Linked DNA regions of Kluyveromyces lactis. The main gene of each other region encodes a partner of the protein of the gene in region 3 in a complex. Links are inferred from orthologs where the notes say so. Each region holds a gene or a part of one and is shown on either strand. Other genes may lie near its edges. The genes, in order: MRPL40, MRPL3, MRPL13, MRPL32, MRPL50, MRPL49 and MRPL17.

The links.
Region 1: MRPL13 (region 3) and MRPL40 share a complex: the UniProt entries of both Saccharomyces cerevisiae proteins name them as parts of the mitochondrial large ribosomal subunit. The link is inferred for Kluyveromyces lactis from reciprocal best matches to the Saccharomyces cerevisiae genes MRPL13 and MRPL40.
Region 2: MRPL13 (region 3) and MRPL3 share a complex: the UniProt entries of both Saccharomyces cerevisiae proteins name them as parts of the mitochondrial large ribosomal subunit. The link is inferred for Kluyveromyces lactis from reciprocal best matches to the Saccharomyces cerevisiae genes MRPL13 and MRPL3.
Region 4: MRPL13 (region 3) and MRPL32 share a complex: the UniProt entries of both Saccharomyces cerevisiae proteins name them as parts of the mitochondrial large ribosomal subunit. The link is inferred for Kluyveromyces lactis from reciprocal best matches to the Saccharomyces cerevisiae genes MRPL13 and MRPL32.
Region 5: MRPL13 (region 3) and MRPL50 share a complex: the UniProt entries of both Saccharomyces cerevisiae proteins name them as parts of the mitochondrial large ribosomal subunit. The link is inferred for Kluyveromyces lactis from reciprocal best matches to the Saccharomyces cerevisiae genes MRPL13 and MRPL50.
Region 6: MRPL13 (region 3) and MRPL49 share a complex: the UniProt entries of both Saccharomyces cerevisiae proteins name them as parts of the mitochondrial large ribosomal subunit. The link is inferred for Kluyveromyces lactis from reciprocal best matches to the Saccharomyces cerevisiae genes MRPL13 and MRPL49.
Region 7: MRPL13 (region 3) and MRPL17 share a complex: the UniProt entries of both Saccharomyces cerevisiae proteins name them as parts of the mitochondrial large ribosomal subunit. The link is inferred for Kluyveromyces lactis from reciprocal best matches to the Saccharomyces cerevisiae genes MRPL13 and MRPL17.

What each region holds. Positions count from the first base shown.
Region 1 is NC_006039.1:834,153-838,403, reverse strand, and holds MRPL40 (mitochondrial 54S ribosomal protein uL24m), read left to right. Parts: upstream 1-1,848; coding exon 1,849-2,739; downstream 2,740-4,251. Other genes in the region: NIP100 (Nip100p), read right to left, coding at 1-775; CDC31 (centrin), read left to right, coding at 1,044-1,547; HNT3 (DNA 5'-adenosine monophosphate hydrolase), read left to right, coding at 2,971-3,942; proteasome regulatory particle base subunit RPT4, read right to left, coding at 4,039-4,251. UniProt on the Saccharomyces cerevisiae protein: Component of the mitochondrial ribosome (mitoribosome), a dedicated translation machinery responsible for the synthesis of mitochondrial genome-encoded proteins, including at least some of the essential transmembrane subunits of the mitochondrial respiratory chain.
Region 2 is NC_006041.1:686,289-690,556, reverse strand, and holds MRPL3 (mitochondrial 54S ribosomal protein mL44), read left to right. Parts: upstream 1-2,167; coding exon 2,168-3,115; downstream 3,116-4,268. Other genes in the region: KLLA0_E07679g (uncharacterized protein), read left to right, coding at 42-356; MSS1 (Mss1p), read right to left, coding at 318-1,823; KLLA0_E07613g (uncharacterized protein), read left to right, coding at 3,339-3,947; PEX12 (ubiquitin-protein ligase peroxin 12), read right to left, coding at 3,998-4,268. UniProt on the Saccharomyces cerevisiae protein: Component of the mitochondrial ribosome (mitoribosome), a dedicated translation machinery responsible for the synthesis of mitochondrial genome-encoded proteins, including at least some of the essential transmembrane subunits of the mitochondrial respiratory chain.
Region 3 is NC_006037.1:257,286-261,488, reverse strand, and holds MRPL13 (mitochondrial 54S ribosomal protein mL50 MRPL13), read left to right. Parts: upstream 1-2,223; coding exon 2,224-2,985; downstream 2,986-4,203. Other genes in the region: RSC4 (Rsc4p), read right to left, coding at 1-862; MEH1 (Meh1p), read right to left, coding at 1,193-1,624; KLLA0_A02893g (uncharacterized protein), read right to left, coding at 3,256-4,203. UniProt on the Saccharomyces cerevisiae protein: Component of the mitochondrial ribosome (mitoribosome), a dedicated translation machinery responsible for the synthesis of mitochondrial genome-encoded proteins, including at least some of the essential transmembrane subunits of the mitochondrial respiratory chain.
Region 4 is NC_006042.1:1,181,509-1,185,518, reverse strand, and holds MRPL32 (mitochondrial 54S ribosomal protein bL32m), read left to right. Parts: upstream 1-1,831; coding exon 1,832-2,389; downstream 2,390-4,010. Other genes in the region: septin CDC10, read right to left, coding at 275-1,288; KLLA0_F12804g (uncharacterized protein), read left to right, coding at 2,868-4,010. UniProt on the Saccharomyces cerevisiae protein: Component of the mitochondrial ribosome (mitoribosome), a dedicated translation machinery responsible for the synthesis of mitochondrial genome-encoded proteins, including at least some of the essential transmembrane subunits of the mitochondrial respiratory chain.
Region 5 is NC_006039.1:791,015-794,947, forward strand, and holds MRPL50 (mitochondrial 54S ribosomal protein bL9m MRPL50), read left to right. Parts: upstream 1-2,064; coding exon 2,065-2,469; downstream 2,470-3,933. Other genes in the region: RSC6 (Rsc6p), read right to left, coding at 130-1,515; KLLA0_C09086g (uncharacterized protein), read right to left, coding at 2,855-3,933. UniProt on the Saccharomyces cerevisiae protein: Component of the mitochondrial ribosome (mitoribosome), a dedicated translation machinery responsible for the synthesis of mitochondrial genome-encoded proteins, including at least some of the essential transmembrane subunits of the mitochondrial respiratory chain.
Region 6 is NC_006042.1:1,307,925-1,311,773, forward strand, and holds MRPL49 (mitochondrial 54S ribosomal protein bL21m), read left to right. Parts: upstream 1-2,396; coding exon 2,397-2,879; downstream 2,880-3,849. Other genes in the region: SAP185 (Sap185p), read left to right, coding at 1-1,068; enoyl-CoA hydratase PHS1, read left to right, coding at 1,434-2,078; mitogen-activated protein kinase kinase kinase BCK1, read left to right, coding at 3,197-3,849. UniProt on the Saccharomyces cerevisiae protein: Component of the mitochondrial ribosome (mitoribosome), a dedicated translation machinery responsible for the synthesis of mitochondrial genome-encoded proteins, including at least some of the essential transmembrane subunits of the mitochondrial respiratory chain.
Region 7 is NC_006039.1:255,873-259,917, reverse strand, and holds MRPL17 (mitochondrial 54S ribosomal protein mL46), read left to right. Parts: upstream 1-1,633; coding exon 1,634-2,425; downstream 2,426-4,045. Other genes in the region: Nrd1 complex RNA-binding subunit, read left to right, coding at 1-1,316; TEX1 (Tex1p), read right to left, coding at 2,633-3,955. UniProt on the Saccharomyces cerevisiae protein: Component of the mitochondrial ribosome (mitoribosome), a dedicated translation machinery responsible for the synthesis of mitochondrial genome-encoded proteins, including at least some of the essential transmembrane subunits of the mitochondrial respiratory chain.

The DNA.
Region 1 (4,251 bases), on a different chromosome or scaffold from region 3:
TACTCTCTAAGGCTGATATTGTTCGCAAATATGTCTCTGCCTGGGTTTGCAGTTCTTCATTACTATTTTTCAAACCGTTGCATTGTTTCTGTATTTCTGTTAGGTCTGATTGCAGCTTTTGTAGTGCAACCGTTAATAATCTGTTTTGCTTGATAAGGGCATCTGATTCTACTGATTCTATCTGATCAGTGTTGACATCAACGTCTGCTTTTCTTCTTATTAAAATTTCTTCTTTATAATCATTAAGCTCCTTCAAAGCACTTTCATGAGCAATGGTCAAGCTTTCTAATTCAAATATCAGTGAATCATTGCGTTGCTCTGCCTCATCTCGTCCTAAAGTTAATTTCTCCAATTGTTCCTCGAGAAATTGCACTTTTTCAAGCTCTTTTGATCTCAATCCCAGCTCCTTTTCAAACGAAATACATTTGTCATTAACTGACTTGAGTTTAACTTCCAATCTTCCAATGATCTTTTTCAATCGTTCGGGATCTGATGAGTTAGAATTCGTAGTATCAGGATCCTGAAATTGTTGCGAGTTCGGTGCAGAATTTTTATAGATACCCTCTCTTCTACTGAATATACCATACATCCGACCTTTTCTACCCTCACTGAGTTCAAAGTACCTGACTCCCTTGACGCTACCATCGTTCTTCCCTAAGGGTTCATCTAACTCAACACCGATCCAAATCCCCGCTGCAAACTGCGTCTCGCCTATAAACCGTACAGTTCCTGCCAGGCTGCGTAGCACTACCCTATCTCCTAATTCCAGATCCATTGTTTCATTTTAGAACTAAAGAGTAGTTGATCTGGCAGTACTGTAAGGTATTCATCAGTTATTGCCTTCATTTCTTTCAGGATATGTGTTTATGTTCCTTAAACTCAATATTGTCAAAATAATCATAAACATGAAATCTTTAAACATATTTTAAAGAAGTTTCACGAAGTTTACGCGTGCAGCAAAAGAGGTAAATTAAGAGGTTCGATTGACTTACAGCCAAGACTCACAACGGCAAGAAATCTAACCCAATTCGGATCATAGAAACATGAATAACAGAAGGCCCAGTGGACGAGTAGCGAAATCCGTGGATAAATCCACTTTACAAAAGGAATTATTAGAAGAACAGAAACAAGAAATATACGAGGCGTTCTCACTCTTTGATATGAACAATGATGGATATCTCGACTATCATGAATTCAAAGTCGCTCTAAGGGCATTGGGTTTTGAACTCAGTAAAGGAGACATATTAGAACTTATCGATAGGTATGATGCAGACGGACGCCGGTTAATACAATACGAGGATTTTTACCTGGTAGTAGGAGAAAAAATATTGCAAAGAGACCCATTGGATGAAATTAAACGTGCCTTCAGGCTATTCGACGATGATAACACGGGCAAGATCTCATTGAAGAATTTGAAACGTGTAGCTCACGAACTAGGTGAAAACCTTACAGACGAAGAACTACGTGCCATGATTGATGAGTTTGATCTTGACGATGACGGAGAGATCAATGAAGAAGAGTTCATTGCTATATGCACTGACAATTAGTGCTTCACGACCATTTCCATTGCCACAGCTGGAGCCCTGTGCCGCATGTATATCTCACCTTGTATATCCTATGTAACATCAAGCTATAATACTAAATCAAATGCGAAGAATCTGATAGTCTAATTCGGATCACGTGCTTTCATTTTTCCCTTCCAAAAAAATTTGTCGATGAAAAACTTGAAGGAACGGAATCAAGAAAGACATATGTATCAATATGGTACTATGGAATGAACCACAAATGGTTTATGTTCTGTGAAAAGGACGGTGGTATTCGATACTAGAATAAAATAGATCAGCGGGTATGTCTTCATATAAACATTTATCGAAGGCTGGTGCCCGTTTTTTGGAGCAAGTTCAAGCGAAGAACTCTAATATTGCGAAACAATTTGCCAAGTATGAAGGTTTGACGATGCCAGAGTTCTTGAAACCATCGTTGCCTCGTGTCGAAGAATCCGAGAAGTATAAGAGTGTAAAGCAATGGAAATATATGCCAGGTGATAGAGTGGTGATAGTAAATGGAAAGTTTAAGGGCAATGTTTGTGCCATTACGCAGCACGACGTGCATACAAACGGGTATATTTTGGATGAGAATGGACCCACCAACACTGTTCCTGTGCCCAAGCAATTTTGGCAACAGGGGCAGAACAGTCATATGGTGAGTTTCCCTGTCCCCGTGAGCCAAGCGGACATCAAACTAGTCGCTGATCTCGATGATCCAGAGACTCCAGGTGTGGCTAAGACTGTTGCTGTTCGTGACATCGAATTCAAGGGTTCGTATTATGATTCAGATTACAAGAAAATTATGCCATATAGGGTTGTTGTTGGTGAGAACAATATGGTTGTTCCATGGCCTAAGCCGGAGTTCAAGCCAGATGGTGCATTGGCTACGCGTTCTGAAATTGCACGTCAACAAACTTTCTGGGTTGAAAGCGTAGTAAAAAATCCTGTTCCAGAAGCAGCATTGTCAACCATCCGTAACCCTAAGTCGAAATACAGAAGAGGTACCTTGACAACGAAGGAAATATCAAGATTGGTGGCTCCAAAAATGCCTCTAACGGAAGCAAAGAAAAGATACATCGAACAAAGAAAAGAATTGGCAGCATTGCCAAAACGTAAATTGACTGATGAAGATCAAGAATTGATTGGTGACAAGGTCTACCAACACTTCAAGAAATCTTTCGAATTACAATAAGAATAAATAATAGTTTTGGCTAGCACTTAACTGCCATTCGTATCCACGCTACTTGTACATAGATCATAATATCATACTTCATCGCACTTTTATCTGACTTTTTTTTTTACTACATGTTTATTTTGAATGGAAATCTATACGTAAAGGTCATTACTTGTAGTAACAGACCTCAACAATTTATGATTATAGTAATGACTAAATGATTAGATAACTGTTACTAGTTCATAACAAATGGATGAGTGCGGTCCAATATATGTTATAGAATGGAAGGAAAGTCCAGGCGATCAATGGACTATCTCAGATAAATCGGGGTTTACGACTCATTTATTCAAATTAAATGAAGACGCCAACAAAGATATTGTGTACTGTAAACATTGCCGAAAGCAGTTCATCGGCAAGAACAGAGATTTAATTGGTTTCCATATGAACAAAATCCATCCACAAATCACAACTGGAATGACTTATAATCAGTATCTGCAGATTTTCAAACCCACTTATGTACCAAACGCCCATGGTGACGAGAAAAACAGGGAGAACTCGTTCAGCATAGGTCTCAGACCGTACGTTTTGTGTCCAGAACGATTGCCTGAAGTACTCTACTTTGACGACATAGCGACCATTATACATGATAAGTTCCCTAAATCTGAAGAACATTTTTTAGTTTTGCCAAGAAGTCATAAGATCAGCAATTCTCATCCCACCACAATCGACAATGGCATCAAGGTGCAGCTTCAATGGCATATTGATTGGGCTAAACGATTCTGTTGGACTCAATTCATAAAAAAATATGACATAAAAGATATATCCTTGAAAGAGAAAGAAGCTTTCTTGGCGAATTTTGTCCAATCAGGAGTACATAGCACTCCATCAATGGCTAATACACATATACATGTCATGACAAGAGATTTCCATAGTAAGAAATTAAAGCACAAAAAGCATTTCAACTCTTTCAACTCCCCGTTCTTTATACCATGGGATGAACTACCTGTGTTGGACTTGCCTGGTGACAAGGAGCTATCCGAAAGGTATATCAAGAACTTTGAGATGATATGCCCCTATTGTTCCACTAACTTCAAGAATCGGTTTGCAAAGCTTAAGGAGCATCTAGCAGATGAGTTTAATATGCGTTTCGTGTCAAAAAAAGGTTTAATAACTGCAGATAGGGCTATTTCATCGTTTAATAGATTTACTAATGATTCATAATTACGGCAACAATTTTAGCGCTTATACTATAGTGGTTGGTTTTTAATCTTAAAATTATGAATCTACTTGAGATGCCTAAACAAGTGTGTATATTCATTACAACTTTTGATATTCAAGCTTGCCTTCGAGCTTCTTGACTTCGGCAACCTTTCTCACGGCTTTCATTAGATCTTCCTGGTTTATATAATCGCGGTCGTCCCTGATAGCGAAGAACCCTGCTTCAGTTATACAGTTACGGATATCCGCACCGTTAAATCCATCACTCATCTTGACTGCAGCTTCAAAGTCAAATTCTCCAGCTTTTTTTAC
Region 2 (4,268 bases), on a different chromosome or scaffold from region 3:
ACAGGTGTCATAGACCACTTGTCTGAACGTAAAGCTTTAAAATGAGGGGAAAGGCTTTGAAATCCAAACTCGAAGAATTGGTGGATGGGATTCAGCAAAGAATTGATTTCGTAACTGCAACTGGAGTGTCGAGTTTTGAGCAAGAGACTGAACAAAATTATGGTAAACTAGAATATTTACAGAGTAAAATCAAGAAAGATGACGGCATTAGTGATTGGGTCGATGAGAAACAACGGCTTTCTGGCAGATTGAATAAACTAGAAAAGCAAGTGCAAGAATTGGAAGAATTGGCAGATGAATGGGAAAACTATTTACAATTACTTGCCGATACAAAACTTCGAAAAGACAACGTCTAAAACCTCTTCCAAGTCAACGTTATCACCAGTTATCTTCCCAATTCCATCGGAAGCTATTCTAAGTGATTCGCAAGCTATTAATATATCGTCATTCTTGTGCTGGAAGAACTGATCTAGGCCGAATAGAATATCAGTGCTTAAAATTTCTTTGACTCTATTGGACACGGTGACTGGATCTTCATTCTCAGTTGCCGAGATTCTTCTGAAACTTAATGTCAAGGTCTTAACTAATGGTTCCAATCCAATTTTGGTTAAGCAAGAGACTGTATGAATTTTCAGGGCTTTAAATTCTGCATCGAACTTTTCAATTAAGTATTTTAACTGGGTTTCAGTAGCTAAATCCGATTTATTCAACACGACAATTAAAGGTTTATCAGATAAGTTATCCTTGATAAATTCTTCAAAATGTTTACTTATATTTGGGTTAGATACATCAATGACCAATACCACTAAGTCACTTTGTAAACTTTTCTTTTTGGATCTGTCAATACCTTTGATCTCAATAGAATCTGAAGTTCCCTGTCTGATCCCTGCCGTGTCAGTCAAGATACATTTAAAACCGTTAATGTCCATCATTACATCGATAGAGTCTCTTGTGGTGCCCGGTATATCACTGACAATCGCAACGTCGTCTTGAGATATTTCGTTAACTAATGATGACTTCCCGGAATTTGGTTCACCCAACAATGTTAACTTTATCCCATCGTTCAAGACAGCCATTCTATCTAATTTCACCATGAATCGAGTCACTTTTTTGTATAGTTGTAAAAGTTTATCATTGGCACCATTCACTATAGAATCGATATCTTCCGTTTCGATATCTTCACCAAAATCAATAATTGCAGTTAGTTTAGCGATCTGCTCTATAATCTCTTGTCGCCATTCATGGAAAATGTCTACGGTCTGATTGCCATGCAATGCAGACAATCGCTGTAATTCTGTATCTGAATGAATCATATTGTTGATACTTTCAAGCTTCAACAAATCCATTTTCCCATTCTGGAAAGCTCGTCGACTGAATTCTCCCGGCATCGCCATACGAATATCTCTTTCAGAGTCCCGCAAACCCTGGATTGAGTTTAACGCTGCCTTTATAATAGCTTTCCCCCCATGTAGATGCAATTCCACTAAATCTTCACCTGTAAAGGTCCGTGGTTGTGGGAAGTACAAGACTAACGCTTCATCTATCAGAGTTGATGCCTTGGGATCATATAATGACCGAATCATCGGTTTCCTCTGCCGTAGCGGTTTTTTTGGCGACAATTTTTTTAAGATATACTTTGAATGTGTACCCGATATCCTAATTATAGCTATTGCAGAGTGCTGATTTGATGGCGTTGATAATGCATACACTGTAGGATGGAAAAATGTCGCTGGAACACTATAAAACCGTCGCAACATTGGGCTGAACATCACTTTTTGCGAAAAATTGAACCAAATGAGAGTGGGATCCTTGTAGACTACCATTACGATTCCAACTGCAATTTATGGTAGTTTAGAATAGTCTGTAAATATGTTTAGCTACCGATTCATCGACAATCCATAGCATAAGTGCGCCGTATCAGAAAGAATCTGGAATAATGAGATGTCTGTGAAAACATATTATTATCACGTGACTACTCGGAAAACATCAACAGTCTACTATATCCGGGTAATTGCAGATCTCAGTATCGAAATATTGAAAAAAAATTTTAGTGAAAGAGTTACAGAGAGAGGATGGAAAGAAGTTGAGTGATGCAGTGAGCTATTGGTGAGGTTTGCCATTGATATATACAGCAATCAACATCACCATCGAGGGGGGTTAAAGAAGGATGTCTGTTTTGAAGCTATTGAACCCTGTGCGAGTGCGAGGATTTGCTTCTTGTGCCAGGTTGTACCAATCAGAACTGTCATCATTGAAAGAATATAAGAATACCATCAGTACACTGTTAAAGAACCCTGCACATGAACTAACAAGCCCCAATTTAGTTGCACTCCATTCCAGATTAAGATTGCCTCAAGGCTTATCCTATTCTCTTTTGTCCAGATGTTTGACGTGTCGTTCTAGTGGGGAAGTGAACTATGACAATGTCAGTTTGAACATTTTTGGTAAGAGTCTTTTAACTTTGGCAGTTACATCCGAGCTAATGAAAAAATATCCTAGGCTACCGGGTGTGGTTTTGAATGCTGCTGTGGATGCATATATTAACGACCATGTTTTGAGCAATGTCGGTCGTTCCTGGGGTATAGAACCGGAAACTCAAAGTGTAGTGGATAGATATGCAAAGAAAGAAAATGTTACCATTACATTGGGTAAACTACGTTATTTCCAAAATTCCGTAGATGAATTGCATAACTTCACTGAGAACAATGCTATGGCAGTTGCCGTAAGGAGTATATTCGCCGCTGTATACAGTGTCGACAAAGATTTCAACCAGACACATAAGTTTATCGCAGATCATATTTTGTCCAGAAAGCTGGACGTTAAAGATTTGTTCGCGTTCGAACAACCAACCAGAGAACTGGCAGCTTTGTGCCGTCGCCAAGGATTGGAAAGACCGGTATCGAAACTACTTGCAGAAAACGGTAGATTGTCTAAATCACCCTTGTTCATCGTTGGCGTTTTCAGTGGTGAAGAGAAATTAGGCGAGGGTTACGGTTCATCTTTGAAAGAAGCTAAAGCCAGAGCCGCTACAGACGCTTTGTTGAAATGGTACTGTTACGAACCAGTGCATGGCCAACAGAATGTCGTTATTGACCAAGGCGAAGTGTTAGTATAGACAGGCCGCATCAGCAATGTATGTTTTCCACATAATCCTTTTCAGTTGAGATCAACTTTTAAAGATTTCTTTCCCTGTAAATATAATATACAAATACATAATAGTAATTCATACACTGTTGTACTCGAACGAAATAAAAAAGGAGGTTGTACGAAACTTAGTTGTGTCTTGAGGCCTTGCCTTATTTATAGCTAGATCCTGTTCTGCATTATTTGATCAAGATATGGATTTGAAGGAGGAAGTTCTGCTGCAAGTTAATTCGACGATCATTGAAAGTAAAGGAGGTCCGTTACTATTTATCCTTGTATTGGAAAATGAAATAGCATCACAGTGTTTTCTGTGTGATGGAGTTGGAAACGTTGATACGAAGCTCAGCCTTTTCAGCTGGAAATCCTCTGATCCAATTGGAATCCTAATGGTTGACCCGGACATTTACGATTACGATGACATGTTACAGTCGTTGAATTCGAAACAATACATTATTAAATCCAAGTTCCATTACTTCCCTGAAACTAGCAATTTGATACAATGGCATGAGAGTGTACGATATCCTTATAAGCTAATCAACTGTGGAGTAGAAATTCAGGATGATCATTCCGATTTAAAACTATTAAAACGTGATTTAAAAGATCATTTGGATAGGATGATTCAATATCTTGAAGATAATGATAGACCAAGCGATGAAATCTTGAAAGAAATTTGGTTATTAAAGCTAAGATACAGTAGAACATCGGCTCCAGACTTAGATTCAGAAATCTCTAGGCTGGAATCTGATATAATGATGATGCAAACGATGTTCAATCAAATGGAAACCAATGCAGAATTATTCTAATGCTACTGGCTCAATTATTCTCATTATTCATTTACTAAATTAATGCAAAACTATATTAATAACTTACGGATGCGTTTATCTATGGGCACACCAGTCGCGAAACATGTATTTTCTGTGCTTACCCATTTCTTGGCACACTCTAAATTAGCGACATATCCAGATGAAATCATGGCAGGTTCTGTTATTTCTTCGCCGCATAGGGGACATACGTCAGTCGTATCATTGTTATCCACCTCTGATGCTACGCCAGGTAGTACTGGAGGTTTTGGTCTCTTTACTCGTATCTCTTTCTTGAATAATTCAGGCCGCTGATTGATAATT
Region 3 (4,203 bases):
TTGTAGTATCTTCGTCATTGAAAACCAATGCGTTTTGAAACGTCAAATTAACATCGGTAATGAAATCGTAGATTTTGTGATAGTATCCAAGTTCTAAGTTATTTTTCACCAAGTTCAATGAGTTAGGTAAACGAATCACTTCTTCATATTCTGGATACTCATCTTTATCTACCAATTCAAGGAACGGTTGGCATATGTTTAAAGTGTCATCCAAGTTGTTGTTAGAAGCCGCTTCTAATTTTACGTCATCATCTTCTGCTAAGATTTCTGCCATCTGTTTATCTGTTACATTGAGTAAAGTGTCAAAGATTGCTATGAAACGTGTCTTCACATCATCGTTAACCAAGAAATTTCTTGTAGCATTTTTTACTTTCAACACTTCATTTTTGATGAAATATACCACTTGTTTCGCATTTTTAACAATAAGAGAATCTGGATCGTTATATGCAAGACAGTTCTTGTAGATCAGTTCACAATCCAATAAGAACTTGGTTTCCCCACCACTATATTCGTAATCCCTGCTTTTAATTTCGTTAATAGAGATCGGTTGATCAATTTTGTAATAGTACTGTGGATGAAACTTCCTACTGGGTAGTTTGATAAAGTGTTTGAATAAAGCCTTGTGAGCTTCAACTAAATTATCCAAAGTAAATGCGATGAACAAATTCAACTTAGGAATAGTCCAATCTAGATCTACAATGAGCTCTTCTGTAGGATCCAAAGGGTGCACATAATCCACTTTGGGTAGAGCGCCGCTTCTAGGACGTTTTCCTGGTGTATATCTTGGTACATAATTCTGTTTTGAATGCTTTTGTTCGGGTTCCTCACTGGGATCTTCTGATCTGCTTCTTTTCACAGCCATAGTATTTGGCGCTTTCCAGTTTGTTTATGCTTTTTTTTTTGCCTCCTCGCTTCCTTGGCTTCTTAAATGAACAAATTTCAGTATATATGCAGCAGTCAAGGCACTTACTCTAACCGTACCTAATTGGCTCCTTTGACAAACCAAAATCGTATACTGCGTATTGTTTTATATGTCTATTCTACAAAGTTTGTATATTTCAATGTTTTCAATAAAGAGAGTGAAAGTACCTTTACAAGATTGAGAAATGTTCAGACGTATATAGTGATATATCGCATTTCAACATTTGGTGAACCCATTTTGAGTGCGCTAATAGTGCAGAAACCTATTGCGTCACGATTCGATATTGGCGACCAATGGCTTGTTATATTCCACGGTAAGGTTTTTCACTAGGTTAGCGAAGTACTTTTTGTGAAATTCTTGAATCGCCTTCCTTGTGTCCTGTTTTATTTTCGAACTGGGAAGTACCGTTAAGGGTACGTCATGTAAAATTTCTCTTTGATCTTGCACATAGCTCGAACCTAAATCGTGTGAGGATGCTACGATACCGCTGTTGCTGATCATACCTATATCTATAAGCTTATCGTTCGTATTATTCACGATTTCGGTCAATTCAAGTTCTCTTGCAAGCACTCTTTCCTTCTGTCGTTGTTCCATTTCGTTATAATCTAATTGGGCTTGTGAGCCGTACCTGTCCTGTTCCTGCAATAACGGGTCATTTTCGTCGCTATCTTGACGAAAGCAGCAACTTAGCACATTTCCCATAATATTTTAAATGTTTTAGGCAGATTTTCGGTAGCTACTGATGCTAGAATTCGTTAGTAAACGTAAACTATCTCATTGCCTTGGTGGCTTTAAGGTAAAGGAACTACACTTACTATAGATGTTGATAAAAAGCACTGGGAAGCATAAATTTCATATTCTAGTATGTGGGTTGTGGGTGTTTTGAATAGGGTAACCCCGTCTTCTTTATCTATCGGGCTACATAGATAAGCAGCTTTTAGTTACTGAATACAGTGAACATCATGCAAACCAGGAAGTACGCACTTAACTCGACCCGTTGTTAAAGACCACTATGATGCAACTATCTATCGCTTCAGATCCTGTTTCTTTCTCTCTTTAGAACCTTCCCATATGGACTACATTCTTTCTATGCCCAATTGAAAAATTGAAAAATTTCATCTAAAAACTATAAACTTACAATTTGATGAAGATATTGTATATTAGAACATTAATTGAACGGTCAAGTTCTTGATGAGCTTAAGCACAGAAGTATCTTCTAGTGTTGTCTGATTTGGCGGTTGATATCAGTTCATTAAAGCGTGGTACTGTGCATATTTTTCAATCGAAAACAAAAAAGAATAATGATGCTAGCGTCTAGGTACGTGCCAGTAGTGCGTTCATCAAGACAATTCACTTCAAGTGCAGTGCGCTCTGATTTCTTGTCATGGTTCAGAAGAAATAAAAACAAAGATGCTGGTGTCGTTTCAACACAGCCAGAATTGCAAAGAGATACAAAAGAAGTTATAAATGAGATCGAGTCCGGGAAAACAACTGTAGTGAAGAGCTCAACGGTCACAAGATTAGAGTTAACAGATGATGATTTTGTTGGTATCGATTCATCTAGAAGAGAAGAACTTATTCGTTTACAAAAGTTGGATGTCGTCCCATTCAACGAGTGGTTATCTCAGGATAAATTAAGTACCGAACAACAGTTGGAACAGGTTGTTTTGGAAAGTTATCAGGAAACTTTCGGTGATGTCCCAACGGAAGAACAACTGGGGAAACCTTTCGAAAATTTGGTAAACAAGTTCAAATTCAGTAAACTGCTACAATGCAAATCAGGACACATTATCCCAGACTACGAACTTACAAGGTTACAAACTCCATTGGAATTTAAATCGTGGTTTGAGATTAAAGTACTAAGTGGTCAACTAGGGAAATTTAAGGAATCGGAACCAAACGCCATTGATTTATCGAATATCAAATTCCCACCAAACGTGTACGTGGTTCCCGATGTCAAACCATCTGTGAAAAAACAGAAGGTGAAGAAAATCTTGGAAGAGGTCGCCGCATTGGAAGCTCAATATGAAAGAGACGCTATTGAGAAAGCTAAAAGGGATTAAACTCCGAAAACAATCTCTCTTCTGGGTTGTTTATATTTACTATCGCATATCTTTTTTTCCAATGCATTTGAACTAGGCCAGTCGGCCGCTTTTCAGATCTTTGATTTGACTTTTCCTTCAATCTAAATCCTGTACATAATATAAATACTTATACATAATGTTACTATAACCATTAGTATGAGAGATCAATCACCAAAAAAAAATTATTGTATGTGAATATATATATACTTTTATATAAGGTTTGAAAAGAGCGTGGCATTGATTGTATACCTAGTGTTTTCTCGATAACGAAAATATCACGGCAATTGACGCACCGAGAGCAACAATTACTGCTGGAAGAAGGGTTTCATTGGGAATTCCAGGAATTAATTGGTTAGATGGTTTGGGATGAGAAGGCACATTTTTTTTGAACCTATTTTGGATTAATCTATTCACAGCATCTTGTGGTACAGTCTCATATCTATAATGAACCAATAAATCAATCTTATCTAGATTCATGTTTTTATGCACAAGCACACAGTCAATCAAATCTTGATCATGAGTGATGCTAACAAGATCATTTTCATCGTCCACATATAAAATTTCCACATCATCTGAACCTCCTAGTTTTTCACCAATCAGTTCAACTAGTTTTGAAACCCCCTCTATTGGCCTTAGGGATACTCTGTGGGTCTTGTTATTTGTTAAAGTTTTGAATTTGAACGAATGTAAACAAGTTCTTATATCTTCTTGAGAAGTAATGTGACTACTTCCCATCAAAGAGCTAGTCTCGCCGTTTACAAAAGACACTGAATCATTCAAATGCATTCCATTGTCAAGCTGGAATTGATTTAGCTCTGTTTGAGATATTTCTGGTGGACCATTGCTGAAAACACTTTCTGAGTGGACTGACGAAGAATCGTTCATCAAATCAAACCCGTTCCAGAATTTATTCCATGCGGGTCCGGGTGCAGCATTTTTACTTGGAGTCGTTGGTACACTGCTTCTCTGAGATTGTGAATTATGTGATTCTGCATCTGAAATTAGGTTTATTTGGGACAACGTCGCATAGGTAAGTTTTAGGACTTCAACAATTCCAACAATTTCACCATCATCCACAACAGGTAAGTTTAGATAATGGCCTTCAAACATTTTACGTAACGCTTGTTGAATAGACAGAGTCTTTGGAGCTACATCAGGTTGTGGCGTCATTACTCTTATAACACTGACAGTTTTGGG
Region 4 (4,010 bases), on a different chromosome or scaffold from region 3:
TAGTTAACTAATGGGGTTTATAAATCCTAAAAAGAGAATGTGATATATAAAAAAGAGATTAAGAGACGTTTGACAAGTAGAAATAGAGAGACATTACCAATTATCAATAAGATATATGGAAATGAAGCGACATTTTACTAGGGCAGGATTCAAACCAGTGAAGAACACAAAAAAAATAATTGGCACAGCTCTTGCGTACCGGTAAAACGCTACATTTTTTTGAAATAAAGACGCCGTTTCTTCTAGAAGTCTTCCCGGCTCTTTTTTCCACCTATTAACGCAGCATTGTTGTTGATGTCTGAGACATGTGTGCAGAAGTTCTAGCGTTGGCGTTCTCCTTCAAAGCAATCAATTGCTTGGATCTGAAACTTTCGTAGTGGATCAAAGCTGTAGTCTCAATCAAATCTTGCAAGTGTGTCCTGATCAAAAATTCTCTTAAATATACGAACTCACATTGGTTGATGTCTTCGACATTGATGGCACCCCAACGAGTTTTTCTTCCTCTTACTAGTTCACCGTTCACTGTAATCTCCTTTTCAGATCCTACAACGGCAAATGGAATAATAGATCTTATACTTTTATTCAGTTCCACTTCTTCATCGGTCAGATCGTCTAAATCATATGGATAGATTCTGAAATTGTACTTTTTAAATTCTTCTTGTAAGATGTTTCTGAAGTTAGCTCTCTCATTCAACGTCAAAGTATCAGCTTTAGCGATCACCGGGATAACATTAGCGATTTCTGTCAATCTCTTCAAAGCAGCAACGTCAAGTTCTGTTAGACCCTTACCGTTAGGTTGGATGAAATATAACACTGCATGTACTCGAGTGTCTACAATGTGTCTTTCACGTTGAGCAGTCAACTCTTTACGTAAATATTGAGAGTGTTGCTCCTTGATGTACTTGACAATAGGTTCCCAAACTTTGTCGTTATTTATCTGGTCACCAAAACCTGGAGTGTCAATCACGTTCACGTTCAAACGTACACGGTCTTCCAATAAAGAATGTGTTGAAACCTTGATCTCGGTGGTCTTACTAATTGGTTCCTGAGTGATGTCCTTACCAGTAGAAGAATCAACCAAGTGAGATGCAAACAAAGTGTTGATCAAAGTACTCTTACCCAGACCAGAATGTCCAACGACCATAACGTTGAATTGAAATCCTCTCTTCAACAAACGATGTTCAATCTGTGAAGTAATCGAATCAAACCCAACATAAGAAGATGGATTTACCAAAGCCAACCCATCAGAAGAAGAAGTCATACCAGCTGCAGCAGTACTAGATGCCATTGTTTTTGTTTATGCGTGTATTTTACCTTTAATAATTCCTTTCGCGTAGTAGAGATGTATATAAGTCAAATCCAAATGATCAAAGCTTTACGTGTTTTAGTGTTTGGAAGTTAAAATAATGAAAAACCTCTAAGTTATAAAAACAATTAACCGCAATAACAAAAATTCAAACAATGAGTAGCAATTAACCACAGAAACGTCAAAAAAAAGTAATCACAATCTTACTTATTCTAAAGAATACAAGATCTGATTCCTTACTTATATTTTGTTGACACACTTATTTCGTTTCGAGTTCCATTTTTAGTTTTTGTGATTTTTCGTCTTTTTCATCGAAATCGAAAAAGGGACACAGATCATCACCAAATCAGGGTAATGTTGAAAATTCTTTCTTATAATCCAATTCGTCAATACCAATTTGAATTGACGAAGTTCAAACAGAGTTAGACGAGCGACCTAGAGAAACTAGTATCTGTCCCTATCGATTGAACTTATCCTTTCTCCTCTTCATCATAGTATCATACCAGCAGCGAAAATAATTAGAGGATGTCTTTTGGAGCTGTAACGGAATCTTTTAGCAGAGTGTTGCTGGAAACAGCGACATCAATATTGCCTCGTTGGAGCACTCCAGCAGCTGGTACTGCATTGCCACAGAAACTGCTGGAATTGCTTGAAAGAAACCAACGTGAAAAGTCTTCACCTCAAGCGGATTACTTTACGAATAACGGGATCCTTCTAGCTGTGCCCAAGAAGAAAGTGTCGCATCAGAAGAAGAGACAAAAGTTATATGCGCCTGGAGACAAACAGCTGAAAATGATCAACCATTTGAACAAATGCCCTTCATGTGGGCATTACAAGAAGGCACATACGCTATGTATGCATTGTGTGGGTGAAATCCGTCACATCTGGAAGGCTCACACTAACGTTGAACAAGTGGAGCCTATTCAAGAACAAGAGTTGTCTGAATTGGACAAGCGTATCTTGTATCCTGGTAGAAAAGAAACTGAATACACAAAGAAACTGAAGGACAAGGATGCTTATTTGGAGAGACGTATGAAAACTCTGCCAGTGGAGAGATCTGAGAAGAAAGAAGGATCACATTAAACCCTCTTCTCATTGAATCCAGTACAAAATAACACATCGGCGGAAATGACTAAAAAAAAACAACCTTTTATCAAGTTCAATCCCCCCATCACCTTGTATATATATGTCGAATACACGTCCCAGATTTTAGCAGGTTATTTCAGTGTCAGCATTCACCTCCTGTAGTAATAGTTAGATTCATTATCTCATCACAATCAACTCTACATAGAATCAAATCACATACAAAAATTTTCCTAGAGCAGGCTTGATGCCAGGCCTAAAGGCGTGAAAATCAGTCGAGAAAAGATCAGATTGAAAAGAAAAAAATCATGAGTGAAAAGATTTGAAGTAGCGATGAGATGAGATGAGGTGCGAATACACGATACAGGATTAAGCAGGACCTGAAAACTGGCATCAGTTTAACAGTTTGGTCTGATATTGGTTGTTTTGTTTTGTTTCACTTTAAATTGACAATAAGGCTGACAATTTTCCATACAGTATGACAACGACACGACAGTTCAAGAAAGTGAAAAAGGTGCCAAATTACAGGATTCCTGTATTTACCAGCATCCCAACGCATCCGTTAGGGGTAAAACCTAGCGGGAATTCTTTATTAGAGGGTGCAGATCCTCAGGAAACTAGAAAGCTTAGGAAAAAGCTGTTAGGCTCTCTGTCAGTGCTACCAGAAGATCTTATAATCGAAATACTCGCATATATCGATGATCCAAATGACTTGCAGAACCTCGGATGTAGTTCTAGGATCCTTTACGCGTACACCTACGATGAGGAACTATGGAGAAAGATTTATACCAAGGAGTACTTGAAGTTGGAATCGGAAAGTCCAGAGCAAGAGCGTATTTCGCCGTTTGGATGTTCAAGGTGGAGGGGCTCGTGGAGAAAGACCATCTTGAAAGTAGACCAAGAAGCATTGATACAGTGTCATAATATTCTGTTCTCTGACACCTTATATAGACCATATCAATGTTCTCAGATCGATTATACAGAGCTTTTCAAAAAAGTGATTGAATTCGAAACGAGTTCGTATGAGTTAGGTACATGTCTGAACACAGAGTTTGGAGTACCTAGAATGCAAGAGACAGAATTTGATGTGGCAACTTTCCATGAAGAGTTTATCAATAAGCCTTTCATTCTTCAAAACAAAGATGGTATTACCTCGGAGGGGAAACCAAGATGGCCAAGATGGACGTTGGACGATTTAGTCGAGAGATATCCCCATGAAATATTCCGCCAAGAAGCAGTGAAATGGGACCTCTCATTATATTCCTACTATTTCAGAGAAAATAGAGATGAGTCGCCTTTGTACCTTTTCGATTGTAATAGCACTGCCTTAAAGCTGATGAGTAAAGAGTATGCTCCACCTTCCATCTACCATAACGATTTCTTCAAATTGTTCCAAGAAAAAGGAATCAAATGTCGACCTGATCACAGATGGCTAATTGCCGGTCCAGCAAGAAGCGGATCCACTTTCCATAAGGATCCGAATCACACTTCTGCATGGAATACAGGCTTGAGCGGCATGAAACTATGGGTAATGTTACCACCTGGAGAAAACCCACCCGGTGTGATGACAGATAAAGAAGAAGAAGAAGTTACATCGCCTGTCGGTATAGCAGAGTGGATT
Region 5 (3,933 bases), on a different chromosome or scaffold from region 3:
AGTACAAATGTTTTCTATACGGTTGTTGAATACACGAAGTATGGGCCCGCTCTGCGAAGAACTACCAAGGTATACGTTGTATACGGTATACATATATTTATGATGAAAGCGATAAAATACTGAATGAAATTATTTCATTCTTCCGCTTGAAAGTAGAACTCCAATGTTTTCAAAAAGAATTGAATCGTTGTCCTGGTAGAATTGTGATCTTCTCACTGTATCTTCATTGAAGCCAGCATCCCCTGATAACACTTTGAGAGCCTGCGATGACGATTCCATGTAATCTTGTAGCATTGGAACTGGATCCTTAGCTAGTTTATCAAAAAATTGGTATTTCTTTGCGCTTGAATTTAGTTGTAGTTGTAATAGTTGTGTTTTCTGATTTAGTTCTTGTATTTGTGGTTCGATTGCAGTTGATAGCGTATTGTATTCATTCAATAGCAATAATTCATCCTTTGACAACTTTTGGTCGCCTTTAACTGACGTTGATTTAGGTACTTCCATGTCAAATACCAAATCTCCGAAAGTGGAAGACTGATCTACACGAATAGTATAGTCAAGTCTTATTGGAGGTATCGGTTTTACATGATCTTTCACTAGACTTGGCAAATCGGCGAGCTTCAAAGAAACAATGCCTGCGGCAAGCCTTTCTGGAGACACTAGCTTTGCTAATGAAGCATCCATTTTCACTAAGACTTTCTCACCGTTTGTGGAATCCTTTGGTCCCGCCTCGTCGTTATTCGTCAATAGACTGTTTAATAGAATATATTTGTAAAGAGAGTATATCGCCTCATGAAAGGTTCCTTTTGAGAATCCGACAATACATGATAGTTCTGGTGAATACTGTAAGAACTCCCCTGTATACCCTTTTGGTTGGATAGTGATGGTACAGTTAACGTTTTCAGTACCCTTACGTGAAACATCAACACCGTCAAACTCTACAGGAGTATTAGGATCCACATGCCATTCAAAAACGGTTTGCTCATTTTTTGGCTTTTTAGCACTAGGTTCCTGTGTCCCTTCTAATAAGGGGTCTCCCATTTCTTGATCAGTTTCATCATCTTGATCTTCCTCTACAGGTTTGAAATCTATCGCGACGCTTTCTATAAAGGAGGAAAATTTAGGCCTATTTGGATCGTCTGCCTTCCCATTATCTAACAGTCTACCTTCAATACGCAATGTCCATGATGCTTGATCAAGTTCCATGGTCTCATCGTTCGTCTGCCATGGCTGGTTCTCAGAAATATTAGAAATGAAAACACGAACAAACTGATTATTCGCAGGATCTGTGTATTTGGAATGAGTCCATTGAGTAATATTCTGATGCAAATCAATTTTTTTACGACTTAAATATATGTCAATTCTCTTCTCAGCCTCTTGTAACTTACTTAGCCCATCCAATTCTGGTATTAATTTCTTCAAATACGGTTGGATATACATGTCAGTTGGTTGTGCAACTGGCACAGTTTGTGCCTGTTGATGTTCAACCGTTGCTCCACTCTGTGCCGCAGACATTTGATTTTGATTTTTCTTTAATCTCAATCTAGCGGTAGCTTAGTTTATTCTACTAGGAGGTAAGCAGATGATATGTCTCATCTATACAAGTTGATGCATGTAAGTTAATGTACCAAAAGCTAGTGAATGCTTTGTTTAGGTTGATTGAATAATTCGAAAAACTGATGTTGAAACAACGAAAGCACCCATACACCCATACACCCATACAATACTTTATAGCGAATCGTATTAGGTTAGATTGTATCCATTACGCAGTTCATTTATAAATAAGTATTTCAAAGGTTACAAACACGGAGTAGTACAGTATGAACGGCTGTCACTCGCTAAACCAATCTTTTATCTTCTTTTTATGTACACATCTTTTAACTAGGCTGGCACTTAGATATGATTTTAAAGCTTCAAAAATTTTTGATAGTTTAAAATCACATTAGAACAAGATCAATCTAAAAGTTAACCATAAGCAGGGAATTAAAAATAGCGTCAATTGTGTTTGAAGTGCTATTCCAATAACTGCACACGCTCCAAGGGCTTTTAAAATATTACAGCAAAATGTTCAGACCGACATCATCGTGTCTTTCTGCCTTAACCAAACGTACAAAGAGAGTACAGGTACAGTTATTAAAAGATTTTCCTCAGTTCCAATTTCATACCGGCGAGGTGGTAAATGTCAAGCCCTCACTAATGAGAAACTTCTTGCACAACTATAATGGAGCCCGCTACATTCTAAAGGAAACTGATATTGACCAAGCCCTGTTGACCTCAGCTAAGAGATCACGTGCATCAGCAGCAGCTTTATTAAAAACAACCGAATCAACGGTGAAGAAGACTGAACAGAACGTAAAGAAGGCTAAGCAGGTATCCAAGGAAGAAAATAAGACACCAGAAACTCCTAAGTCAGCATTAAACGAAGAAATAACTATCGAGAATGTGAAGATTCCAGGATTAGACTTATGATAGTAAATGTTTTATCTTTTTTTTCCTCCTTACGCGGATCATTTGAGATACCAATGTCTTACAAAATAATAATGATCATGGATGTTGTTCGTGACGTCTCGTCCCCATTGCGGTTCAGAGGCACATTCATACACTTGTACATAAATTACATTAAAATAACTTGCGAAAACAATAAAGAAAGTTCGTTGCATCCAATCGCTACCAGTTGAAGTAATAACGTGGACAGTAGATCTGGATGATTCATACTAAATGGGGATTGACAAGAGAGTTATTACTACAGGAACGCTCATCACCTGGACGAGCATATTTCTCTTGATCAGCTTTAACTGTTGCTTTGGAAATAAAGAGACGAGAATGAGAAACAACCCCAATAGTGATGAACTTTCTAAATTCTCATTTTCTGTTTGTTTCTCAGACGTCTTTCTCTCTTTTCTCTTTTCTTCAACTCCATTTTATCAAGTTCTTGGTCGGTCAACTTGTCTCTCATATCCTTTCTCTTTTGTCTCTCAGCTTCTTGTTTTTTTTCAAGAGCCATTTCTCTTTCAACCTGTTGCATGACTTTAACAATCTTGCCTAACTCTTCTTTACGCAATTGAATACCCTTCTTCAAAATATCAGTGGTGATGAAAGAATTGGATGAGTTAGTTTGAATATCCTTAGTAACATTGTCATAAATTTCGACAACTTTGGTTATCAATTCCTCCAACAATTCGATATCTTTGTCAGAAGTTACCAAGGATAAGTAGATGACACAACGTGGCAATTGAGAAGACTCCCATAATTTGTCAGTAATCGGTTTCTCTTCTGGTAAATCAGTGAAAGAAATAAACTTCAAGAACTTGGCAGATTTAGATAGCAACACCTTGAAATCTTCACCGGCATAGTGAGGAATAAATCCGTTCAACTTATTTGATTCGGACATGAAAACATAGTCTGCTGGTAAAGATTCATTTTCAGCGGTATGGGTCAATGATAAAAAGTAGTTTGAGTCACGAGCTTTAGTCATCACTGCTTTGTTAACGATAGATGTGATGAATTTCAATTTGGACAAAGTTTCCGCTGAGTTGGCAGTTAGCTTAGCATCTTCAGTAGAGACGAATTGGCCATTTGGAGTAATGGTAACTGAGATGAATTCTTCAATGTCGTTGGCAACTAATGTTGGTAAAAACAAAGCTAATGCCTTTTGAGTTAACAATGCCAATGGGTTGTGACGAGCCGTCAAGTGTGCCTTAACAATTACGCTTTCAATAGTAGAACGACCAGTGGCAAAAGATGTGAACCAGGTGTTATTTTGCTCCTCAATATATGGCATCTTCTTGCCATCGGCACTAAAACCAACCTTTGTAAAAGATAACTTTGTTAACAAGAATGTGTTCAAAGTACCAAATATCTTATCGGCATATTTATTGTTCAGAGTCTTACCATAATAAGAAATGAAAAATAAGATAGCCATGAGACCAATGC
Region 6 (3,849 bases), on a different chromosome or scaffold from region 3:
TCTGCTCATATTACCGATGTCATTATGGAAGGCGACAGGAAATGTCTAGAGTACGAGAAAGAGACTGGAATCAGACTTGGTTACATGGGTCATTTAACATTGATCGCCGAGGAAGTTGCCAAATTCGCTGCCTATATAGAAGAAGCCAATGTGACTTTCGCATCACCTGTAGTGCAAGAAGGACTCAATGAACCTAAATGGAAAGAGTACTGCGATACAATTCTCACCGAAACAAGAGAAAAATATAGCTCTTTACTCGGAGATGACGGTTTCGACGAAGGTGAAAACGACGAGGGCGATGACGAGATTTACGAAGACGATGATGCTATAAATGAAAACGAGAAAAGGTTTGTGAATGTGAACGGGTCCCTGGAGTATGACGATGCCGATGAGGATGAAAATCCGAATGAATTAGGTGCCGACAACTGTTTCGTTTATGAAGACAACATGGGTAATAAGACAAAAATCCAAGTACGACTAGACAACAACGATGAGCATGACTCGTCGTACGGTGGAGATTTGAATAAGTTTAGCAACTACATGTCAAATCAGATTAAATCCGGCTTAAACATGGCTGACAATGCCGAGGAAGAAGACGAAGGAGACGAAGAGGAAGATATTTGGAATGGTGAATCATCCAACACATTCCAACCGCAAGTCCCCAATAAAACCTTCTTCAACAGCTCCATGTTCCATTCCCACCAATTTGATCTGTCACCTGACGATGAAGAAGATTATTTAGATCCTAACGACGATGGGCAATCTTATGCAAAACCAAACCATCCTTTATACTCCAGCATGTTATCACCGGGTGGTATGCCCTACGATGCACCAGACGAAGAACTCAACGATCTTGATGTAAACGACGATGATGAGGACGACGACGAAGATGATTTCGATGCTGATACTGATGTTGGAACACATAGCGGCATTTCTCATCGTTCGAATGAATACTCCCTGCGTCGTACTTCCAGTAATGATAAGATCCCTTACGATCTCGCTGAGCAGAGTAGTAGAGCAATGGGAATGCCTGCTTTGCAAAGATCAAGCTCACATGATACAGATTAACAATGCAGCCTTATCCCCAAACACGAATCCTTATCAACACAAATTGATATATAATAAACATTTACTTTTCCTCTGTTTATCGTTAGTTCAAGTAGTAATAATATTAATAATAGTAATAGTAATAATAACATACGAGTAACACTAATTCAAATCTTAATTCTCATGTCATCAATACATACTGCAATTTGTTAATTTGGGTATTGTTGGATTTCTCTTCCTTTTCGTCTCAATGCATCACTTAATTTTATGAATCTGAAACCATGAATTCTTGTTATTGACAAAAACTGGTCTGTTTAGAACCGAACTGGATCTTAATAAATTGAACCCCGAAGTCCAAAGAGCCCACCAATACACTTTCACACCCAATGGCATCATCTAAGGCTTCTATCTTCTCCTTCCTTCCTCTTTACAACCTACTTTCTGCTTCTGCCTGGGCTTATGTCCTATATCAAGTCGTGACCCTTTACCCAAAGATCGGTCAACCAAGTTTCTTTATTGCTACCAAGGATTTAGTCACGTACGTTCAATGCGGTGCTATAATTGAAGTCACAAATTCTTTGTTTGGAATAGTCCGTGCTCCGCTAGTGACCACTGCTGCTCAAGTGGCCTCTCGACTCTTGGTAGTCATCGGTATCTTCCAGTATGTGCCGGAAGCAGAAAATGCGCATAAAATATATTACATCACGTTGTTGTCGGCATGGTGTATTGCTGAAATAGTGAGGTACATGTTCTACTTCTTCAACTTGGTGGCTCAAGCGCCTACTGTACTTGTTGTATTGAGATATAACATGTTTTACGTGCTATATCCATTGGGCGTCGGCAGCGAATTGTTCATAATTTATTCTGCATTGCCGTTGGCTGAAGCAAAATACAATATCTTGTACAAGTATTTCTTAATTGCAGGTATGCTAGCCTACATTCCAGGGTTCCCGGTGCTATTCTCACACATGGTTGCCCAAAGAAGGAAGGTCATGAGATCCTTGAACGGTGATAAACGCAAATCTGCATGAATTGTCACAGGATTAAAAGAATAGTTTGACTCATGTATAAAAGTTCTGTAACATTTGTAACATACCCGAATGAATGCACAAATGAAACGACGCTGTCCCTTGGCGTGGCCGTTGGCTCTTCCTTCTCATGACTGTGTGTGTGCCCTACTTTTCACGTCACGTCACGTGACTGACATCAACACTTAACTCTCGAAGGCTCAAAAAATTTTCTGTTGAAACAGTATACGACTAGTTGAACAACATTTAAGACAAGTGAGAAGAAGCAGATTGAAAGGGCTATTGCATCTGCCAATTGTCGTTCGAATCAGTGCAGAAACGATGTTCAAGAATATCAGTCATATGTTTGCCCTCCCAGTAAGGCAAATGGTGGGTTTCAGCCCATTTCTTCAACCTTTGAAGAGAAGTTTCATCAGAACAACACACTCGGTAGCAGAAAAAGCGAAGGTGAATTTAACGCCGTTGAAGTTATCCAATGAGCTATATGCCGTATTCAGAATACACAACAGACCATACTTGGTGACAGAAGGAGATAAGGTTATCTTACCGTTTAAACTGAAGCAAGCAGAGGTCGGCGATGTGCTAAATTTGACTGATGTGACTACCATTGGTTCTCGTAACTTCAAGCTCGTGGACGAACCTATTGATCCATCTCTATACACTATTAAGGCTACAGTTCTTGAGAAGACAAAACGCCCGCTTAGAGTGAGAGAAGTTACCAAGAGAAGAAACAGGAAAGTGCGTCATGCGGTCAATAAAGCCGATTTGACTATTCTGAGAATATCCGAGCTAAAAGTCAATTAATGAACTAACCCTCCTACAAAATCGTGTAAATAAAAGTTTAATATAATGTTAGGTCGTTATAGATCGATTAGAAATACTATACCATCTAGTAACTATGTTTTAGTGGCAGCATCTCATCGAATTTGTTAGAAACGTTTACCGTTTTAGAGAATAGATATAAATTCAAATAGAAACAATTGTAATTAATACCATTTTAATCGTTAATAAAGAGGGGAGAAAGACGATAAGAGAAGAGCTTAGTGCAACAATTACTGGGTATCGATACTTTAGTATCTGATAAGTAAAGTCCCGCTAAATATAGATGAACCGTGGATGATATGTCTTTCTTGAAGAAGAAGAGTAGCACTGCTGGACATTCAAGGTCAGGATCTGCCTCATCTATACTCAACAAACATGTTGATCCTGCCAATATCAGTGAGTTTTATCCATCGTCATTGGATCACAAGGTGACCAGTGGTTTGAAGAACGATTATAGTTTTGATTCCAGCAGCAAGGGATCCAGGAAGTCCTCTGGTGGGAGCACCAATTCGTTAACATCTGAGCGACTATTATTCAATTGGGATGTCACTGATCCGAGCCAGTGGACGATGCCCAGGATAATACAGTGGTTCAGAGCTAACGATTTCAACGATCAGTGGATTACATTTTTCAAGAGGAATAGTATAAGCGGGAATAAGTTCTTGAAACTTCTAGCTTACGATAATTTTGCACCATACGAGAAGTCCTTACAACAGTCCAAGAGTTCAAGTTACGAAAGGTTTCAGTACTTATTGAAGAAAACGCTGGAAGAAAACGTGGTGAAGGGAAACAACAGGAATGGTAATCGGATTATCAATAATTCAAGGTCGTCGAGTGAGTCTGCTAAGGTCAGCCAAAGGTTATCGACATCTTTTTCTACCCATATAAGAAGTACATCAGAATCGGCGCTGTTGAATATTGAGAATATTACGAAAGACAGTTCTTCTAGTGA
Region 7 (4,045 bases), on a different chromosome or scaffold from region 3:
TTGATCAAGTCTTGAACGCTATACCGAAATTCGAAAACCTTCCTGGCATACAAGTCCCGTCTGGTTTATTTTCAGAGGACATATCGGTACAGGACTCTTGTTTGAAAGAACTTCTAGGAAAGTTGCAAGTTGAACTGACAAAGAACCAAAAATTGGTTCAAGTAAACAAACAGGCTCCTCGCTCGATAGATAATTCTACCTCTTCTACCTCTTCATCGTCAAGGTCTACTCGCTCAACGCAGTACGTTGGAAGAGACTCCAGAAATGACAGATCTAGATCACCCCCAAGAAACAAAAATGACAGATCTCGAGCACAGGCAACAACTTCTCTGCATTTATCTAGGCAACAGCAGCAACAACAACAACAACAACAACAACAACAGCAGCAGTCAATTAATGGTCAACAAGGAAATAACCATCATTTGTACCCAGATGAGCAGAATGTTCCCTCAAACCCTCATTTTAGGCCAAAACCGGTATCCTTTGATCCAACTGTGCCAAGGGACCACGTAAAAGTATATTCCAGAACCCTTTTCGTTGGTGGTGTCCCACAAAATTTCAAAGAACATGATATTGCAAGAATGTTAAGACAATTCGGTGAGGTTCAGAGTGTTATTTTGAATAATGCCCGTAAGCACGCCTTTGTGAAAGTCTATTCAAGAGCAGAAGCGGAGAGGATCATGGCGCATTTCACTGGTGGTGGCAATCCGACACATGGTTTGAGAATCCGTTGGGCCGTTGGTTTCGGTCCTAGAGACTGTTGTGACTATCAATATGGATATTCAATCATCCCATTGGCCAGGCTAACCGAAATTGACTTCAAATGGTCACAGTCCGCGGAATGGGGTGGTACTGGTGGTCAACCAATCCAAACAAACATGGTTTATGAGGAGCCCGATATTATTGTTGGTGAAGGTGTTTCATCAAAAGCGATTTCGCAAAAGATGCCAACTGATAAAGGTGTTTTGGGTCCCAAGTCTGGTAAAGTTGGTCAAGCTACTGCTGTCTCTCAAACACCTATCCCCTACAGTAATATATCTCCTCCTCCTCCTCCGGTTCAAACATCACAAATACCGAACGTTCCTCAAATCCAACAACAGTATTATAACCAGCCATTGTATCAGCAGCCTCCATCAATGGTATATGGTCAAAATCAACTGCTGGGATCGGCATCATCTGCGCAGCAGCAGCAGCAGCAGCAATCGCATCAGTCTACTCAACCTTCGGGCCAAAAATCTCCTCAACCCCCACAAAATTTCGATCCAACTGCGCAATTAAACACATTGATGAATATTTTGAACCAAACGCCAAAATAATGCTTATATAAATGCACTTAAATAATTTTCTGTATCTGATAGCCTTTATGCATATGCAATTCACTCACTACTTTGTTCTATTAGTGACACCACTTGGAAAGTTATCAAATCCGTATATCGTGATCGATTATTTCATATTGAAAAATTTTGGAATAGTAGGCATGAGAGGATGTTCAAACAATTTGAAAAATTATTGGAACATCAGCATCATGTTGAAATAGTGCCGCTTATCAGAATTGGGAAGCATATTCACCAGCTGTCAATCATCGTGTATATTCAGTCAGCAACCCTCTTCATCGACACAATTATAAATAAAAATGTCTGTGAAAGCAGCAGCAAGCTCGATTCCCAAGGCAGTAAAGGCAGGTTTGGTACTTTCTCGTGTTCCAATCGTCACTCCAGAATTGAATGCACTAGAGAACAAGTACTACCAATACCAGGCAGAACTGGAAAGAAGACTAATGTGGACATTTCCATCTTATTTCTATTTCAAAAAAGGTACTTTGGCAGAGCGTCGTTTCCAGTCTGTACAGAAAGGTGTGATTAGCAAGCAGCCTGGTGTATGGTTCCCTAAAGGAGTGCCAGACGTCAGACATAACAGAGAAAGAAGTCAAAAGCAAGATATTATGCTACCAAGAGAGGCTTCAGAAGGTTCAAACAAGTCTGATGTCTCAAGGCCAATTGTTCCTAATTCCAGAACTACAAAGGCAGACGAAAATAACGATATTACTAGTTTAGACAGAAAATTGGACAGAACTCTGCATTTGCTTGTGAAGGATGACAAGGGAAGCTGGGTTCTTCCAAGTTTCCCGGTTGATATTGAAGCTAAGGAAGGAAAGAAAGCTTTACATGAGACCGCTGAAGTGGGATTAAGAAAAATCGGCGGAGAAGATATTAATACATGGACTGTGTCGAATACTCCAGCAGGTGTTCTACAATCTGAAAAAGATCTCCAGTTTTTGATCAAATCGCATATCATAGCAGGTGAATTCAAGTTAAAGGATGAAAAGTCAATCAAAGAATTTGCATGGTTGACAAAAGATGAAATCAAGAAAGCTGTTGACGAGAGATATTTCAATAGTATACAATATGTTCTTGCTGAGAATTAACATATTATCATCAAACACAGAAAGTATTGGCATGATTTAATCACTATATATATATGTAAACCCTCCTGTAAATACTGCTTCGGATAGAAATTCCAACCCGTATCGAACACTAAAAGATAACAATCATATACATATTGCTGAACTCTGATTGATTTTAAGATTGGAACATTATATACTTGTAAGAATGCTAATTAACTTTTAAATCTATCACCATCTATCATTTGGCTTTCTAAAAGAAGACCCTGTGTTGGAGCGACCAAACGACTTCTCACTGAATTTATCAGCATCTCTCTTGTATGGTTGTTTGCGCAGCTCTTTATCCCTCTTCCCGCGCTGTGGTGTGTCTCTTTGAGTTCTACTGCTCCGATCGGTGCTTTTCTTAACAAAATCATTTCGTTTACGATCATCGGTCGATACCATAGTTTTCGGTCTGCCTGAACGTAAATCAACCATTGTCATTTTATCAAGAGCACCAGTGGTGTAAAATATTAAGCACGACTTTGACCACTTGATTGTGGAACGTGATGAATTTTTAACCACCGTGTTGTATAGGATAGACAAATCATTGTACCAATAGAGACTTAAAAATGAATCGTGAGAGTCTAATGCTTTGCTCAAAATAGATATTATTGACCCATCAAAAGAAATGTCAATTCCAGTTATTCTATTATCTGTCTTGATTGATTTTTTCAAGGGCACAAGATCAGGTAACGAATAGATAGAACATTCGTTATGAGTTCCGACTAACAATGCTCTGCCTAATGGATCCATTATTAGTGACGTGATGGTTTTCATATCATTCCGCCTTTCACAGAGAAACTTTAATCCATCATCTTGGAGTGAAAATAGTTTTATGAATCCTGATTTATATGCAACGATAATTTGTTTGGAATCATTAGACCAGCAAAGGGAATGTATGGCATCATCCGATTTCTCATCAGGGGAAAAAGAGATACAAGATTCGTAACCAGATTCTGCATTGTAAATGTAGATTTCATTCGTCTTCGTCGCTACAACTAGGTACTTTCCAGAAGGATCATATTCCGTTATGAAGTTCTTCGCTTTAAAGTTTGTCTTAAACTCTTTCAACACACTCAACTTATCATCCACAACGTTCCAGATTTTAACAGTCGGAGTGTTTCCCACTGAGGCAAACTGTAACTCGTTGGGATTCCAACTAATAGAATACACTATTTTGCCTTCCCCATGTACGTCCTTCTTAATCGATCCAATCAAGACATGATCTTGGGATCGGTCTGATGTTAACGGCGGCCTCATGACAGTCAAACTACCATCAATTCTCGACCAGGACACGTATTTTGATGCTGAATGTGAATCCAACGCAATAATCTCATTCAGTGAAGTACGGACAGATCTGCTATCCTTTACTGCAGTAGCATGATAATCTTTTAAGACCCGTTTATCTTTGCAGCAGCTTTCCAACAATGAACTGTAATGACTTTTCAAGCCACTTTCATTGAGACAAGTGATCTCAAATGCTTTAGAGGCAGTATAGCCAAATCTCGACATACTGCAAATCCTAAAAATAGTTTTAGCACTCGGCTTTGGTTTCTATGTGTTTTACTGTGGATACCTTTTAGCACTTGATGATGATTCAAA